Linked DNA regions of Notamacropus eugenii. The protein of the gene in region 2 interacts with the protein of the main gene of each other region in a pairwise test. Links are inferred from orthologs where the notes say so. Each region holds a gene or a part of one and is shown on either strand. Other genes may lie near its edges.

Evidence for each region. The genes of interacting proteins can lie anywhere in the genome.
Region 1: the proteins of KASH5 (region 2) and GPATCH4 interact in binary tests that used the Homo sapiens proteins (3 or more experiments, as listed by UniProt). The two-hybrid records come from large-scale screens. The link is inferred for Notamacropus eugenii from reciprocal best matches to the Homo sapiens genes KASH5 and GPATCH4.

The regions. Positions count from the first base shown.
Region 1 is NC_092873.1:380,745,564-380,752,985, forward strand, and holds the start of GPATCH4 (G patch domain-containing protein 4), read right to left. Parts: upstream 3,022-7,422; 5' UTR 2,832-3,021; intron 1,432-2,831; 5' UTR 1,366-1,431; coding exon 1,287-1,365; intron 1-1,286.
Region 2 is NC_092876.1:12,584,686-12,592,024, reverse strand, and holds the start of KASH5 (protein KASH5), read right to left. Parts: upstream 3,017-7,339; 5' UTR 2,979-3,016; coding exon 2,791-2,978; exon of another isoform or gene 2,709-2,790; intron 1,955-2,708; coding exon 1,848-1,954; intron 1-1,847. Other genes in the region: DKKL1 (dickkopf-like protein 1), read right to left, coding at 7,036-7,329. UniProt on the Homo sapiens protein: As a component of the LINC (LInker of Nucleoskeleton and Cytoskeleton) complex, involved in the connection between the nuclear lamina and the cytoskeleton.

The DNA.
Region 1 (7,422 bases), on a different chromosome or scaffold from region 2:
CTCCACAATCTTCAGATGCTCCTGACTCTGTAGGCCACTGTTTTCCTGTATTGTAGACAAATTTCCTGCATTGATGTCTAGAACCCATTCAGATGGATCATGTGTCTTAATCTGTCTGTGTCTTAGGGAGCTTACAACTACAGGAGGGACCAGGATTGTGCCTCTCCGACTCTCCCTGTAGGAAGAATGGCATGGGTGGCAGCAGTGGCATCATCATCACCATCCTCATCATCGCTAATGTTTAAATAGTGCTTACTATGTGCTTTACAATTATGGTCTCATTTGATCCTCTCAACTACCCTGGGAAGGAGATGCTCTTATGAGCTTCATTTTACAGAGGAGGAAACTGAGGTAAACAGGAATTAAGTGACTTGCCTCAGGTTCACACACCTAGTAAGTATCTGAAGCAGGATGTGAACTCAGGGCTTCCTGACTCTAGGCCCATAGCTCTATCTACTGTGTTGCCTAACTGAAAAAATGCCAAACTTAAGAGTAACCTCTTTGTCACGTCTGATCCTGTGTCACCATGGACAAGTCACTTAGCCTTCAAGGGCCTCTTTTTGCCTTACCTACAACCTGGGAGTGATAATACTACTTCATGTTACCTACTCTACCCCAAAGTTGTGATCAGAGAATTTTGACGACAGGAAAGTATTATAGAAATGTGATCTTTTGTTATTAGCTTAATGAGATTCTTTCCTATTATATAGGGTATCCCAAAAGTCTTAGTGCAGTTTTAAACTCTAAAAACCTAAAGTCTATAAGATGAATAGTGTATCTTTTCTCTTTCCTCCAAATTGCCCTCTACTGCCCAGGATAGGGCTTTGCCCACAAGGAATACCAGAGGCAACTAGGTAGTATAGTCCATACAGCACTGGACTTGATTCAAAAAGAACTGAGTTCAAATCCTATTTCTTACACAAATATGGAACCCTGGACAAATCACTTAACCTCTCTGCCTCAGTTTCCTTAACTGTAAAATGGGTAACTGTTATAGGCACCTATCTCACAGGGCTGTTGTGAGGACGAAAGCACTGTATGTGTGCTAGCTTATTAAGTCTCCTTTCTGATGGGTCTTTTCCCTGTCCCTTTCTCATCTACTCAGTCTCTTACCCTACCTTCATTTCCCATTCAGAATAGTTCTTCCTCTCCCAAATTCTGCCTAAGAACTAAGGTGGTTGTGCTAGTAGGAATTTCTTCCACAGCCCTTGAGTACTAGAAAGCAAGACTGGGGGTCTGGGGCTTTTCCAGGGAGAAATGGAGTACAGTCAGTCAGTAGGTATTACCTTGAATCCATCCATGCTTCTGCAGCTGCTCCTCAGCAAACTTCATCCCTCGACTCTTGGTCCCTGAGGTGACGCTCATGTTGAGAAAAGGATTAGTCTCTGTCCTTAATGTCTCACCAGTTCAAAAGTGGTTACTATTATCCCTCTGAAAGAAAAAAAAAAGCAGGCAAACCTACCACTCCCCATCTGGTTCTACTATGAGCAGAACACTGGCCTGGTTTCTGAACTGATCTAGACACAGTAAGAGATGTGGTTCCAGTTCTTTAAAAATAATTTCCTATGGACTGGGGACAGTTGGAGAAATATTTTGAATCACATGAGCATCGTTGGACTAAGCATAAAACCTCCAAAAGGGACCAGTGTCAAAGGAATCCCCTTCATTTGGACCTATCAGTTGCTTTAACAAGCAAACACCACCTTAGTCACACCTGAAAAGACGTGACAGCCCTGGGACTGCATCCTCTTTGGTCTCCTTGAAAAGATCTCTCTCCTCTGGAGAGGATCTGCCTCTACTTCAAAGGGGACACTCCATCTCTAGTCTCTGCATCTTTGCCCTAGCTGTCCCCATTACCTGGGGTATTCCACACTCTCCCTTCTGCCTCTTAGTGTCTCTGGCTTCCTTCAAGACAGCTCCAATCCTACCTTCTGAAAGGGGCCTTTCTTGGTCTCTTTAGCTAAGGCCTTCTTCCCCTTTCTGACTACCTCCTGAATATCGATCTTCTAAGTACCTAGATATTTACAAATACTCAGCCTCATTAGACAGTAAGCTCCTTGAGGACAAAGACTGTCTTAGGGATTTTTTAAAAAAATATATATCCCCAACCCTTAGCACACTAAGTAGGCACTGGATAAGGTCTGACTCATTGAAAGTAGAAGTGTTTAGTCCAGTGCCCCCGGCACGTAATCAGCATTTAATAGGAAGCGGAGACGTCCGCTTTGCTTTTATCCCCCGCACTTAGCACCAAGCCTAGCACGGAGCAAGCGCTTAATAAGCGGTTACTGATGGATTCCTTGGGGGCAGAGCCTGCTTCTGCCTGTCTCGGTACCCCGGCGATCAGCACCGTGCCAGGCGTGAAGGCCCGCTGACTGACGCCCGCGCCCCCCTGCACGGCCCGCCCCGCACGGCCCGCGCCCCCCTGCACGTCCCGCACCCCCCGGCACGGCCCGCCCCGCACGGCCCGCGCCCCCCTGCACGGCCCGCCCCGCACGGCCCGCGCCCCCCTGCACGTCCCGCACCCCCCCGGCACGGCCCGCCCCGCACGGCCCGCGCCCCCCTGCACGGCCCGCCCCGCACGGCCCGCGCCCCCCTGCACGTCCCGCACCCCCCGGCACGGCCCGCACCGCACGGCCCGCGCCCCCCTGCACGTCCCGCACCCCCCGGCACGGCCCGCACCGCACGGCCCGCGCCCCCCTGCACGGCCCGCGCCCCCCGGCACGGCCCGCACGGCTCCCCTCCCTCCGCAGGCGTCGCCAGCCCTTCGGCGATCTGATCCCCAGCCCTCGGGCTGCAGATCCCAAAGGGCAGTCTCCAGCCTCCACGTTTACCTGCGCCTCTGAGCACCTCTTCCTCCCTTCCCGTGCGCTGGCAGCTTCTCTCCGCTGAAGGGAGCCGCTCACAGGAGTGTCAGGGGCCGCTCCCCAGAAACACGCGGAACCCAACCGCTGCGCGGCGCCATGTTTCCGGAAGGGCCGCCTTCGGGCCCTTGTAGCCTGCAAAGACCATGGAAGGAAGCGCGTAGACCATAGAGTTCCGGTCCTCCGAGGGGAGGAAGCGCCCGACCTCTCCCGGAAGCGGGCTGGAGCTCGGGTTGCTACGGAAACGCGAACGCTTTCAGGCTGCGTTTCGAAGCTGATTACGTGTGTGGTGGGACGTATGAAGGGCAAGGGTCGTCCAAGCCCTCCCCGTCCTCCGCACCCCCAGCCTCTTTTGAGTAAGAATAATAACAGCTCGCTCCATAACAGGAAGTCATCCAAGTCTTGTCAGCATCACGGTCCAGATTTTACACGTGGCCGAGAAGGCAGAGTGGGGTCAGAAAGACCTGAGTTCCATACTTAGCTGTGTGGCCCTGGGCAAGTCACCTCAGTTCTTAAATGCCTCAGTCTCCCCATCTGTAAAATGGGGATGATAATAGTCCCTACCTTACAGGGTTGTTGCTCAAAGGTCATCTAAGCGAAAATATGTAAAGCACTATACAATGCGCCTATTATTATTACAGTTTGGAAAACTAAAGTTCGGAGGAGTGGCTCAATGAAAAATCATTTATTAAGTACTTAACACGTGCCATCCGTGCTAAGCCCTGGGGACACAAAGAGAGGTAATGCAAGTAGCGTGCATTCTAATGGGAGATAACATATAAAGAGGAGCTGGAAGCGAGGGGGGAGCCATGTGCAGCATCCTGGTTTAGAATAGCTGAGAAGTGACCGTGGAGAACGAGCTTGGCACCTAGGAGCCCAAGTCCCAACGGGAGGGAGATGAGACTATGGCTCCTCACAAAATTAATCTGAGGGTTGGAAAGGAGTCAATTAATCCGGTTGGTTGGTTGTCCTTCGTTCTTGAAGAGGACCAACATGACATCACCATGATAAAGTAAAATTTCAGTGTGGTCTGACTTGGCTGATCAGAACAACAGGAGCTCAGAATGCTCTACCACAGGTCGGGCACGGGTAGTCCGTGTGAATATTTGGGGTGGATACCCAAAATTTGCGCATCCTGTGTTTACTTTGTGCATCCTATGTTTACTTTGTGCTGTCTCAATTCTTCTTTGCTCATAGAGTACAGCACCCTATCTGATATGGGCACGCCATTCTGAGCAGTCCTGTGCCAGTGTCTCCCATGTTGCACAGTCAAATCCAAAGTTCTTGAGAGAGACCTTCAGAGTGTCCTTGTATCGCTTCTTCTGGCCACCATGTGATCACCTACCCTATGTGAGTTCTCCATAAAATAGTCTTTTTAGCAAGCATATATTTTGAATTCAGACAATGTGACCAGCCCATTAGAGTTGTGCTCTCTGAAGCGTAGTTTGAATGCTTGGCAGTTTAGCGTGAGCAAGGACTTCACTATCTGGTACCTTATTCTGCCAAGTGATTCTCAGAATCTTCCTAAGACAGTACAAATGGAAGCGATTCAGTTTCCTGGCATGGCACTGGTAGACTGTCCATGTTTCACAGGCATACAACAATAAAGTCAACCCAACAGCTCTGTAGACCTTCAATTTGGTAGTCAGTCTAATACATCTTCTCTCCCGAACTTTTCTTCAGAGCCTCCCAAACCCTGAGCTAGCTCTGGCAATGCATGCATCAACCTCATTGTCAATGTGTACATCCCTGGAGAGTACACTACCAAGGTAAGTGAACTCATCCACAACATTAAAAACTTCTGCATTTGTTGTAACAGATGGTTCCATGTATGGATGGTGTGGTGGTGGCTGATGGAGCACCTGTGTTTTCTTGATGTTAATTATTAGGTCAAAATTAGCACAGGCAGCAGAGAATTGATCCATACTTTGTTACATCTCAGCTTCAGAGGCTGCATTGAGTGTACAATCATCTGCAAACAGAAAATCATGCACCAACACTCCCTCCACTTTGGTCTTGGCTTGTAGCCTTTTCAAGTTGAAGAACTTATCATCATTATGATAGTTGACCTTAATGCCTGTGTTCATCCTTATTGAAAGCATTTGACAACATGGCTGAAAATATCATGCTAAAAAGCATGGGAGCAAGCACACAGCCCTATTTCACTCCATTGGTGACTGGGAAGGCATGTGAGCATTCTTCACTATGCAGAACCTGGGTAAACATGCCATCATGAAATTAACATACAGTATTGATGAATTTCTCCAGGCAACCAAATTTTGATATAATTTTCCATAAGACCTCATGATCAACGGTGTCAAAGGCCTTGGTCAGATCTACAAACATTGTATATAGATCTCTGTGCTGCTCCCAGCATTTCTTCTGGCGTTGTTGGACAGCAAACACCATATCAACTGTTCCTTGGCCCTTTCTGAAGCCACACTGGCTCTCAGGTATATGACCATTTTCCAGGTGAAGGATCAGCCTATTAAGGAGGACTCTAGCAAGAATTTTGCCAACAATGACTAAGAGAGAAACCTCCCTGTGATTGTCATAGGACAATCTATTCCCTTTACCTTTATAGGGATGGACAATGGAGGCATCCTTGAACTCCTGGGGGATAACCTCCTCTTGCCATATAACCTGGAAAATTTCAGTCAGCTTTTGTATGAGCAATGGTCCCTCTACCTTGTAAATCTCAACTGGAATAGTATCAGCACCAGGTGCTTTGCCACATGAAAGGATCCTAATAGCCCTCAAAACCTCTTCTTCAGTTGGAAGTTCAGCTAAGGAGGGATTGACTTCAACCGGAGGTAAATGGTCAATGGCCTCAGCATTGATTGATGATGGTCTGTTGAGAACATTATGGATGTATTCAGTCCATCTCTCTAGGATCATGTCCTTATCACTAATCAATGTGGCTCCATCAGCGCTGAGAAGTTGTGCTGCACCATAGGTTTTTGGTCCATAAATAGCTTTCAGGGAATCATAAAAGTGCTTTAAATTGTTGCTATCAGTATAAAACTGAATTTCATCTGCCTTCTTACTGAGCCAGGGTAGACACCCCCCTAACTTACCAATGGGTTTGAGACTCCTTGGTTACCCTCAACTTGGTTTGGCCTGTCTGCTGAAATGGTTTACCAGGGTGTGGCCACTGTGCATGCTATAGCTTCTTGGAGCCACACGTGAGAGTTGAGTGGTACAGGTGGACACCAAAGGTGGAAAGAGCCCTGAAAAGGGCTTGGCAGCCATCATACCAAAGGTAGTGGTCCTCCCTAAACACACCCTACACCCCAGTCAGTTAATCTGTTCCATAAAGAAAGAAATCCTCATTACAACATACCTGACAAGGGATTGCCAAGCCTGGACTTGAAGACTTCCAAGAATGGTGAACCTATCACCTTTCAAGGTAGCACATTCTGCTTTTGAACAGCATTAATTGTTAGGAAGTTGTTCCTGAAAAACAAATGTAATTTTTTTTTTTGCATGTAATTGGGGAAAATAAAATGGAAGGAGGAAGAGGAGGAAGGAGGGGGAAGTGATGGGGTGCTTGGTTGCATGTGCTTTGGCCTCGATTTTAAAATCACATTTCTCTTTAAAAATCACATTTCTCCCTAACCTCAAAACACTATCCCAGGCAGTTTCTCCCCAGCCCAAGGACACAACTTGTCCTAGCAACAACCGTTATCTCCTTTCCTGCTCTAGTAGCCAGCTGTACCTATAGCACTCATTAGTTTGAACCAGCTGTGTACTGGTTTAACGGACTGCGTACTGGGTCATAACGACATTTACTACTCACTGACCTAGTACCCTAAACTTAGACATACGTATACTCTCTTACATTTTTCTTGTCTAACAAGACATTGATGAGAACAACCTGGTATTTCTGAGCCAGCCCTGATGTTGGTTGACTTAGTGATATTTCAGGCCTAAAACCACACCTCCAGGTAGCCCCTCCTTGAGTTATTTGCTGATGAATTTTGGATAAAATACCTGTGCAATAGACACCAAAAGCGCATGTTCCTTTAAGAACTGACCACTCCTTAACCACTCCCTAATCTCAACCCGAAACACCTATAGAATACCCTATATAAACTTTCCCTGTACCCCTTTAGGGTTGCAGGTTCCCTAAGAACACTTGCCCACTGAAAAGCATAATAAATTTTTATCTTGACCTCAACAAAGCTTGAGTCCGTGAATTCTTCTCTAAACGACCTGGTACCCTGGTCTTTGTGGGGGGCTCTCATATCCCTCTTCCAGCCCTCATCTGAAGGAGGAGGAGAAGGAAGAGAAGAAGGAGAAGGAGATGAAGAAGATTGTTCCTGATATGAAGCTGAATTTATACAAATTGCGATTTATACAGATCACTCCAGGTTCCACCCTGTCAGGCTAAACAGAATCCCTTCTCCATATGACATCTATTCAAATATTTTAACTAAGCCATCATGTCCCCCAAGAATCCTCTCTTCTCCAGCCCCCAAATGTCCATTCTTATGTAGGATTATAGGTTTTAGAGCTAGTATTATTAGTTTCTCTGGACAAAGCCCTTCATTTTATATAT
Region 2 (7,339 bases):
TCCATAGGCATCTGTGATTCCCTGCTATCTTTATGACATCTAAATTGGTTGGTGCTTTCTTAGAAGACCTTCGTCTATTTACATGACATTCTTTTTCCCTTTTTATCAGAAATGTTTCCCTTTGTATCTTCAGAACTTCATTCTTAGGAGCCTGACAGCCCTCCTGGACCAACTACAGAATTTTATGCAAAGACATGCTACCTATCCTATACCTACATTTTTGACCTGCTCTTCCAAATCTAAAGTGTCACACTATACCTTGCTTTCTTCTCTGCTACTACAAATTCTGAGGTGGAACCTCCCCAGGGTTGCCCCTATTTCAGGGTTGCCCTCAGTTTGTGACAATCACTTCCAGGATAGCACTTCCCCTCTGGTCCAGCAGCACCCACGTCGGCTTTGGTTCAGACACTTGACAGGCAGAGACCCAGCAAAGATGCTCCCTGAGCTCCTCTCCCCCCACTCCAGGGGTCAGGGGGCTTGGGAAGCATGGCTAATGTGGACTCAGGAGCCTCCTGCCCCACCCAGCTCAGGCCTGCAGTCTCTGGACCACCTCTGCAGGCCCAGGGCTGCTTACACCTAGATAAACTCCCTGGTCTGAGGGGATCAGCGTGTTAGTGTTAGAACTGGAAAGGGGACCAGCCATAGGCATTTAGAGCTAGCCTACATGCCATTTTACAAGGAAAACAGATCTTTGCGTGGTTAAGTGAGGTTAATCTGAGAGGTTAAGTGGCAAGGTCACAGCCAGCAAGTAGAGAGATAGGACTTAGAGCCCAGGCCTTCTAACTCTCAGAGGTTTTGTTTCCACTGGACTTCTGCAAAGTGAGCTGGGAAGGTGATAAAATTGCGTACTCACCTCTCTCTCTACAAACCAGGCTCCAACCCCTGAAAACAACCTTAAGTCTTCCCTGGTTGGAATGGGTTACTGAAGCTGTCCAGCACACAGGCTGCTTTCCTGGGTCACTTTTAGAAGTCCCCCCTTTGGCTTTGGGTACCCCCTCCTCCTTGAGCCTGTGGCCTCCCACCAGCAATATGACCACAGACTTTGCTCTTTTCACCTCTGAGCCCATCCCCCAGAATGCTGCCCATCACAGGGTGGTGTGGGAGAACCTGGGAGGCGAGAGGCTGGGAACCACTAGTTCACTTTGACTCCATAGGACCTGGACACAGATCCTGGTCAGCATCTGGGCCCCACAAAATCCCTGCCCTTGGCACACTTCCCAAGTTCATCCCCTAAACACTTCCTCCTGAGACTCATTAGAGGTTACTCCTTAATTTACATGCCAGAGAAAGTAACTTGCTCACCTAAGGGTAAAAATGTTTTGTTTGGCTCAGAAGGAAACTGGGATTCAGCCAAAATAAGGTATGAGCCCAAGGTAGCACAGTTCAAAAGAAACAGGGCCAGGATTCTTGGAGCCCCTGGCTTGGACCCCCAGTCTCCAGCGGTACCACCCTGACCTCATGGGTCCATCTCCCACCTCTAAGCCTTTGCTTCACCTGGCCCTTTCTCCCTGGGGTCTTTCTGGATCCTGGCCCTCGCCCATACCCACACTTCTGCCTTAGTGCTCTGCCCTTCTCACCACCTGGAGAAGAGCCTCCTCTAGAACCGTCCTCTTTGGGGAGCAGCACAGTCAGCTGCTTCATTCCTCCTTCTGTTTCCTTCCTTCGAATCCCAGAGCTGACTTCCCTGCACCATCCCCACCTCGCACCCCGCCTCAGACCCCATCGAGCTGAGTCAGCTGCCTCCCTCCACCTGTTGGGACAAGTCCCTTCTGGGATCCTGAGGTCCCGTCACTGACCCCCACCCCCCCGCCCCCCAGTCCCACCCTGGGAGGACACGAGTTACCCACTTTCTGAAGTCAGGCTGGCGGGTCTGGGCACCTGGCTCTCCACAGTATCCATTGAACCTGGCTCCTGAGCCTCAAGAGGGGAAGGGGCTGATGCCACCACTGTTTCCCTGGAAGGACAAAGAGCAGGACTGAGGCTTGAAACCAGCCCGGCCTGTACCCCTCAGTCTTCCATCTTAATTATGGCCTGCTGGCCTCCGTGGAACCAGATCATTATCCAGAGCCTGTTCTCCCTTGTGCCCCAAGTGCCCCAGAGCACTTGGGCCAGGCCTCGCTGGGGGTGGGGGGAGCTCAAAGGCCCTGGGGTTCTTTCACGTATTGATTGGGGGGGACCTCAGGGGCCTCTTTCTTAAGGGGTTGGGAGGGGAGGTCACCTGCCAGGGTTTGGGAGACACTCTCCTTCTAAGAGGCTGGGGGGCTCTCTGGCTCCCTACTCCTGTAGGGTTGTGGGGGGCCATCCAAAAGAATCCTTGAGGTCTCCAGCAACATTCAAGGTCTGATATTTGGGGCCTCTCTCTGACTACATCTGGGGGGGGTATCTTAAGAGGCTGGGGGATTTTACCAGCACTATTTGGGGCCCTTTATAATAGAACTAGAGGCTTTTCTGACAGGCTCAGGGGCCCTTTCTCACAGATTTGGGGGCCCCTCTCTGACAGTATCAGGGTCCCCTTTCTCACAGAATTTGAGGGGCCCTCTCTGACAGACTTGGGGTCCCCTTTCTCATAGATTTGGGGGCCCCTCTCTGACAGACTTGGGGTCCCCTTTCTCATAGATTTGGGGGCCCCTCTCTGACAGTATCAGGGTCCCCTTTCTCACAGGGTTTGGGGGGCCCCTCCCTGACAGGCTCGGGGTCCCCTTTCTCACAGATTTGGGGGCCCTCTCTGAGAGGCTCGGGGCTCCCTCTCTCCTCGGCCGGCTCAGTCACGGTGGGGAGCTCGCCCCTCACCCTGCTGCCCGCCTTGGGCTTCGACAACTGGCAGGAAGCTGGGCCGGAAGCCTTTCCCGCCAGAATGAGCGAGCCCCTGCCGTCGAAGCCGCAGTCGTGGGTACGCATGCGCCTCGGGCGCCCCTCCTCGAGGCAAGGCGCAGGCGCAGGAGGGAGTGCTCGGCAAACCGTTGGCGAGCCATGCGCATGCGTCGTGGCCAAGGCTTGCGCCTGCGCAAAGGCCCTCCTTCGCCTCTCTCCCAGTCCAGCCCGAAGGAGGGCGGGGAAAGAATTTCTGTTGGGCCATTTGGGGCCGTCAGTATCCCCGCTTCTTCCCCTGCCCCCTCCCCCAGCCAGGACCCCCATCTTGCCTGGGCCTAAACCTTTCCAGGGAGTCTTCAGGACACTTGAGTGCTAAGCTTAGCACGGCCCCCCCAAGACAGAGAATCACCCCCGCCTTACCTTGGGGCGTACGGGGTGGGGGGTGGAGAAGGGGGGAATCAAAGGGGGAAGGGGGCTCCCCCTTCTGGCCTACCCAGCTTCCTGCAGAGCCATCCACAAGCGACACCTCCCCAAATTCGCACCCTGCCCCTTTAACAAGCAGCCCCTAACTCCCACTCACCCAATGGGTCTGATTTCCGGGGACCCTTTGGGAATAACGGGAGTTTTCCCAGCCTTTGTTTCAACAGTTCCACAAGCATTCCCCACCCTCCGTCTCCCCTCAGCCTCTGGTTTCATTGGCCACACGAGATCTGGTGAAGAAGCTGGGGGTGGCTGGGGGGATGGCCCCGGGGGAGCCCGCCGGGAACCCTCCTGGTGCGGGCATCAGCCTCAAAAAGGGTTAAAGAAGCCAGAAGGTCTGCTGGGATGCTGGCTGGGGTGCTGACCTGATGCCGGCTGGGGTGCTGACCTGATGCCGGCTGGGGTGCCGGCTGGGATGCTGGCTGGGGTGCCGGCTGGGGTGCTGACATGATGCCGGCTGGGGTGCCGGCTGGGGTGCTGGCTGGGGTGCCGGCTGGGGTGCTGACCTGATGCCGGCTGGGGTGCTGACATGATGCCGGCTGGGGTGCCGGCTGGGATGCTGGCTGGGGTGCTGACATGATGCCGGCTGGGGTGCTGGCTGGGGTGCCGGCTGGGTACCACTTGTGCCAGAGAAGCTGGAGCCGGCAGGCTGCACTGTGGGGACATTTCCCCTTCCTCCTTCCAGGTTTAGGTCCCCGAGGATCATCCTCCTACCCCGAGAAAGTGAACAGATACGTTCAACAACAGGGTTGGGGGTGGGGGAGGAACTTTATCTCTTCAGGTATTATTCTTCAGCTTTACATTGCAAGATAAATGGGGTTTTTTTTGTCAATATGCTGAATGTGAATTCCTTGGGACCAAGCTGAACTCCAGTTGGATGGAGCATGCGTCAAGAAATGTATTATTGGAATATCTCTACATCATGGTCCACTCAGAAAGCACTAAAAGAGGCTGGGAAGGTGAGACTGCTAGGTACTTTGTGCACCCACACAGGTGGGAGCTGTGGAAACTAACTTTGAGCATCCTCTGGTGGCCAAGCCAGTTATGGCACCTCAAACAGCTGTTCCAAGCCATACCCTTTAATGCTGGTAATTGTAAAAGACTCTTCTTGTAGGACACCAACTATTCTGTAATGGGACAAAATGTTTCACAAGGCTCTCTTAGAGGGCTGGCTGTCCTAGGGACATGACAGCGGATAACCAAGGGCACTGGAGATGATCTGAAGATTTTATTTCTATAGGGTCACAAATGATAAGGACCACTAGGCACGATCCATTATAACGGGCAGGAAGTGGGGTTGGAAATAACTCACATTCTAATGCATTGTAAGATTTACAGAACACTTCCTCCAATACCCTTGGCAGGTAGGTAGGGCAAATGAAGTTTTGTGCTACCCAGGAGATGCATTATTAGGTCAGGAGGATGGAAAGCAAATGACCTTACCTTTTTCGTTCCTTTAGGTTAGAAAGGAATTTTCTGATCCTGAATCTAAGACTTGGCATTAACACCAGACACAAGCATTCTAAACAACAGAAGATCTTAGAAAAGGGCCACTTTGACTGGCTTTTTATTTGGCTGTTCTTAGCTAGGTATGGTGATTTCCAGCGTTTAGCTCTGGGCTATATATAAAAAAGCTCAGCCTGCCCCGGTCAAGGAGAGGCTAACTAATCACTGCACTGAAGATAGGAAAGCCAGCAGCTGCCCAGCAAGAGCTGAAATACAACCATACAACTGGGGAGATACCTAGCAGAGCAAGTATTATCTCCTGAGAGAACTTAGGCAGCCCTGCAAAACCATAGGTTGAGAATGGCTCTGGCCCCAAGGGTTTCTGGGGCATGTACCTTTTCACATAGGTTCTCTTTATGTTCCCGTTTATGTGCCCTGGTCTCACTTCTGTGTTATCTTTCACCACTGGTGCAGTAAGCTATGGGAGACTGTATCCTTCCTGTATTTTCTTAAGTTATTTTATTCTGAACTAATGCATTTACTTTGCTAAAAGTAAACAAGTCAGTCTGTGGAGAATCTGGAGCTGTGGTTTTGACTGGGTGCTGTGACCCAGTCTACCCTGCTCTACCCTGAGGTCATTTTTTGTTTGTTTTCTAGAGAGACTGAGAGGGAGTGTCTCAGATCCTACACCTGGTGTGTGCGTTCATCCTTCGTTGAAAGAAGACCATGCCATCAGAGAAATGATGACATGACTTGCACTTGACTTTGTTTTGAGTGAGGGAGGGCTGTGCAGGTCACCAGCCTCACTTCTCCGCTAGAGTCATCTGAATCCAGTGACCAGATATTCATCAGGATGACTGGAGATGACCCAGGATGAGGCAATTGGGGTTAAGTGACTTGCCCAAGATCGCACAGCTAGTGAGTATCAACTGTCTAAGGAGCATTAGGTGGTGCAATGGGTAGAGTGCTGGGCCTGGAGTCTGGAAGACATCTTCCTGAGTTCAAATCTGGTCTCAGACTTTTTTTTAGGGGCACTTAGGTGGTGCAGTGGATAGAACACCAGTGCAGGAGTCAGGAGGACCTGAGTTCAAATCTCACCTCAGACACTTGACACTCACTGTGTGACCTTGGGCAAGTCACTTAGCCCCAATTGCCTCATCCTGGGTCATATCTCCAGTCATCATGATGAGTATCTCTGGTCACTGGATTCAGGCTCTGGAGGAGAACTGAGGCTGGTGACCTGCACAGCCCTCCCTCACTGAAAACAAAGTCAAATGTAAATCATGTCATCATTTCTCTGATGGCATGGTCTTCTTAGGCAACAAAGGATGAACCCACACCTACACCTGGTATCTTCTGGCTAGAGGAAAACTTTAATCTCTGTTGGGGGTGTAAGCTCAGTTTTCACGTGGACAGTGTCGGGCAGGTAAAGGTGAGGACTTCTAAACCTCAGAGTTCTTATGAGGCCCCCCAGGGAACAGCTGGGAATTGAGGCATGAAACACGGGCTATCTCGTGCATTTCCACCTCTTCTCAGTGGGAAACTTGCTGGGGAGAGCATCCCACCCTTGAGATTGGCCCGTGGTCTGAGCACACCTGTTGTTGACTAGCTAGGGGCTGAGAGCATGCATGGTATCCACGTGCAAACTATGCGGCGGGAGAGCTTAAGTAGGGACAGGAAAGCCTGAAGGCGCTCTTCGTGCTGAGGGGCCCTTGGAGGGAAGAGGGTCCCCCCCTCTTCTGCTCCCATCCTCTTGCTGTACGATCCTTGCCTCTTGGGAGGAGGAGGATTCCTCTCTCCTGAGGAAGAATTCACCCTGCACATGTAACTAAGACCCTGAATAAAGCCTAACCCTTGTTCGACTCTGGAAAGTCTCTTCTCTCAACACGTTTATCCGGCTGATCTCCGAAGACCTGGACGACAGGTAAGAAAGGCTCGGGTAGCCCTTCGGCCTCTAGGCTGAACAAATCTCCTTATGCTAATTTTACTTATGGTGAAACTGACAATCTGAGAAGTGACTAGCCCAAAGCACTGGAGGTCAGACGAGAACTCAAGTCTATTGATTTCTATCTAGGAACTTTCTCTACTTCAGGTTGCAGTGATGGAACAGGAGAGTAGAGACAGATGAAAGAGCCCAGGGCCTTGCTATGACCGAGACTGGCCGGAGATGACAGACAGCCTTGATGCTGTTTTCACTGAAGATAGAACTTTTATTTATTTTCGAGGGGATGGAGGGGCCGATGCAGGCATCCTCACCTCTCATCTGCCCTCAGCCTGCCTCTTTGCCAACCCTGGAGCCTACAGCTGCCGAGGGGGCCTTAGGAAATAGAGAAAATGGGCCCTGTGAGGCACAGGGCGAAGGCGCAAGGGGGCTTCCTCGTGGGCTCCCTCCCGAAGTCCATCCCGGATTGCCTGAAGCCGATGACGCTTCTCACTGACCCAGCGGCTCCCAGCCCGGCTTTCAGTCCGGGTCATCCGACGTGGAAGGCTGATTATCCAGAAAGCCACTTTGGGCTGTGCCTCGGCATGGGAGCTGCTCAGTTCATTGCTTCGGAGTGTCTGGGCAGGTTCATTCTCCTCCTCATCAGTTGCCTAGAACCAC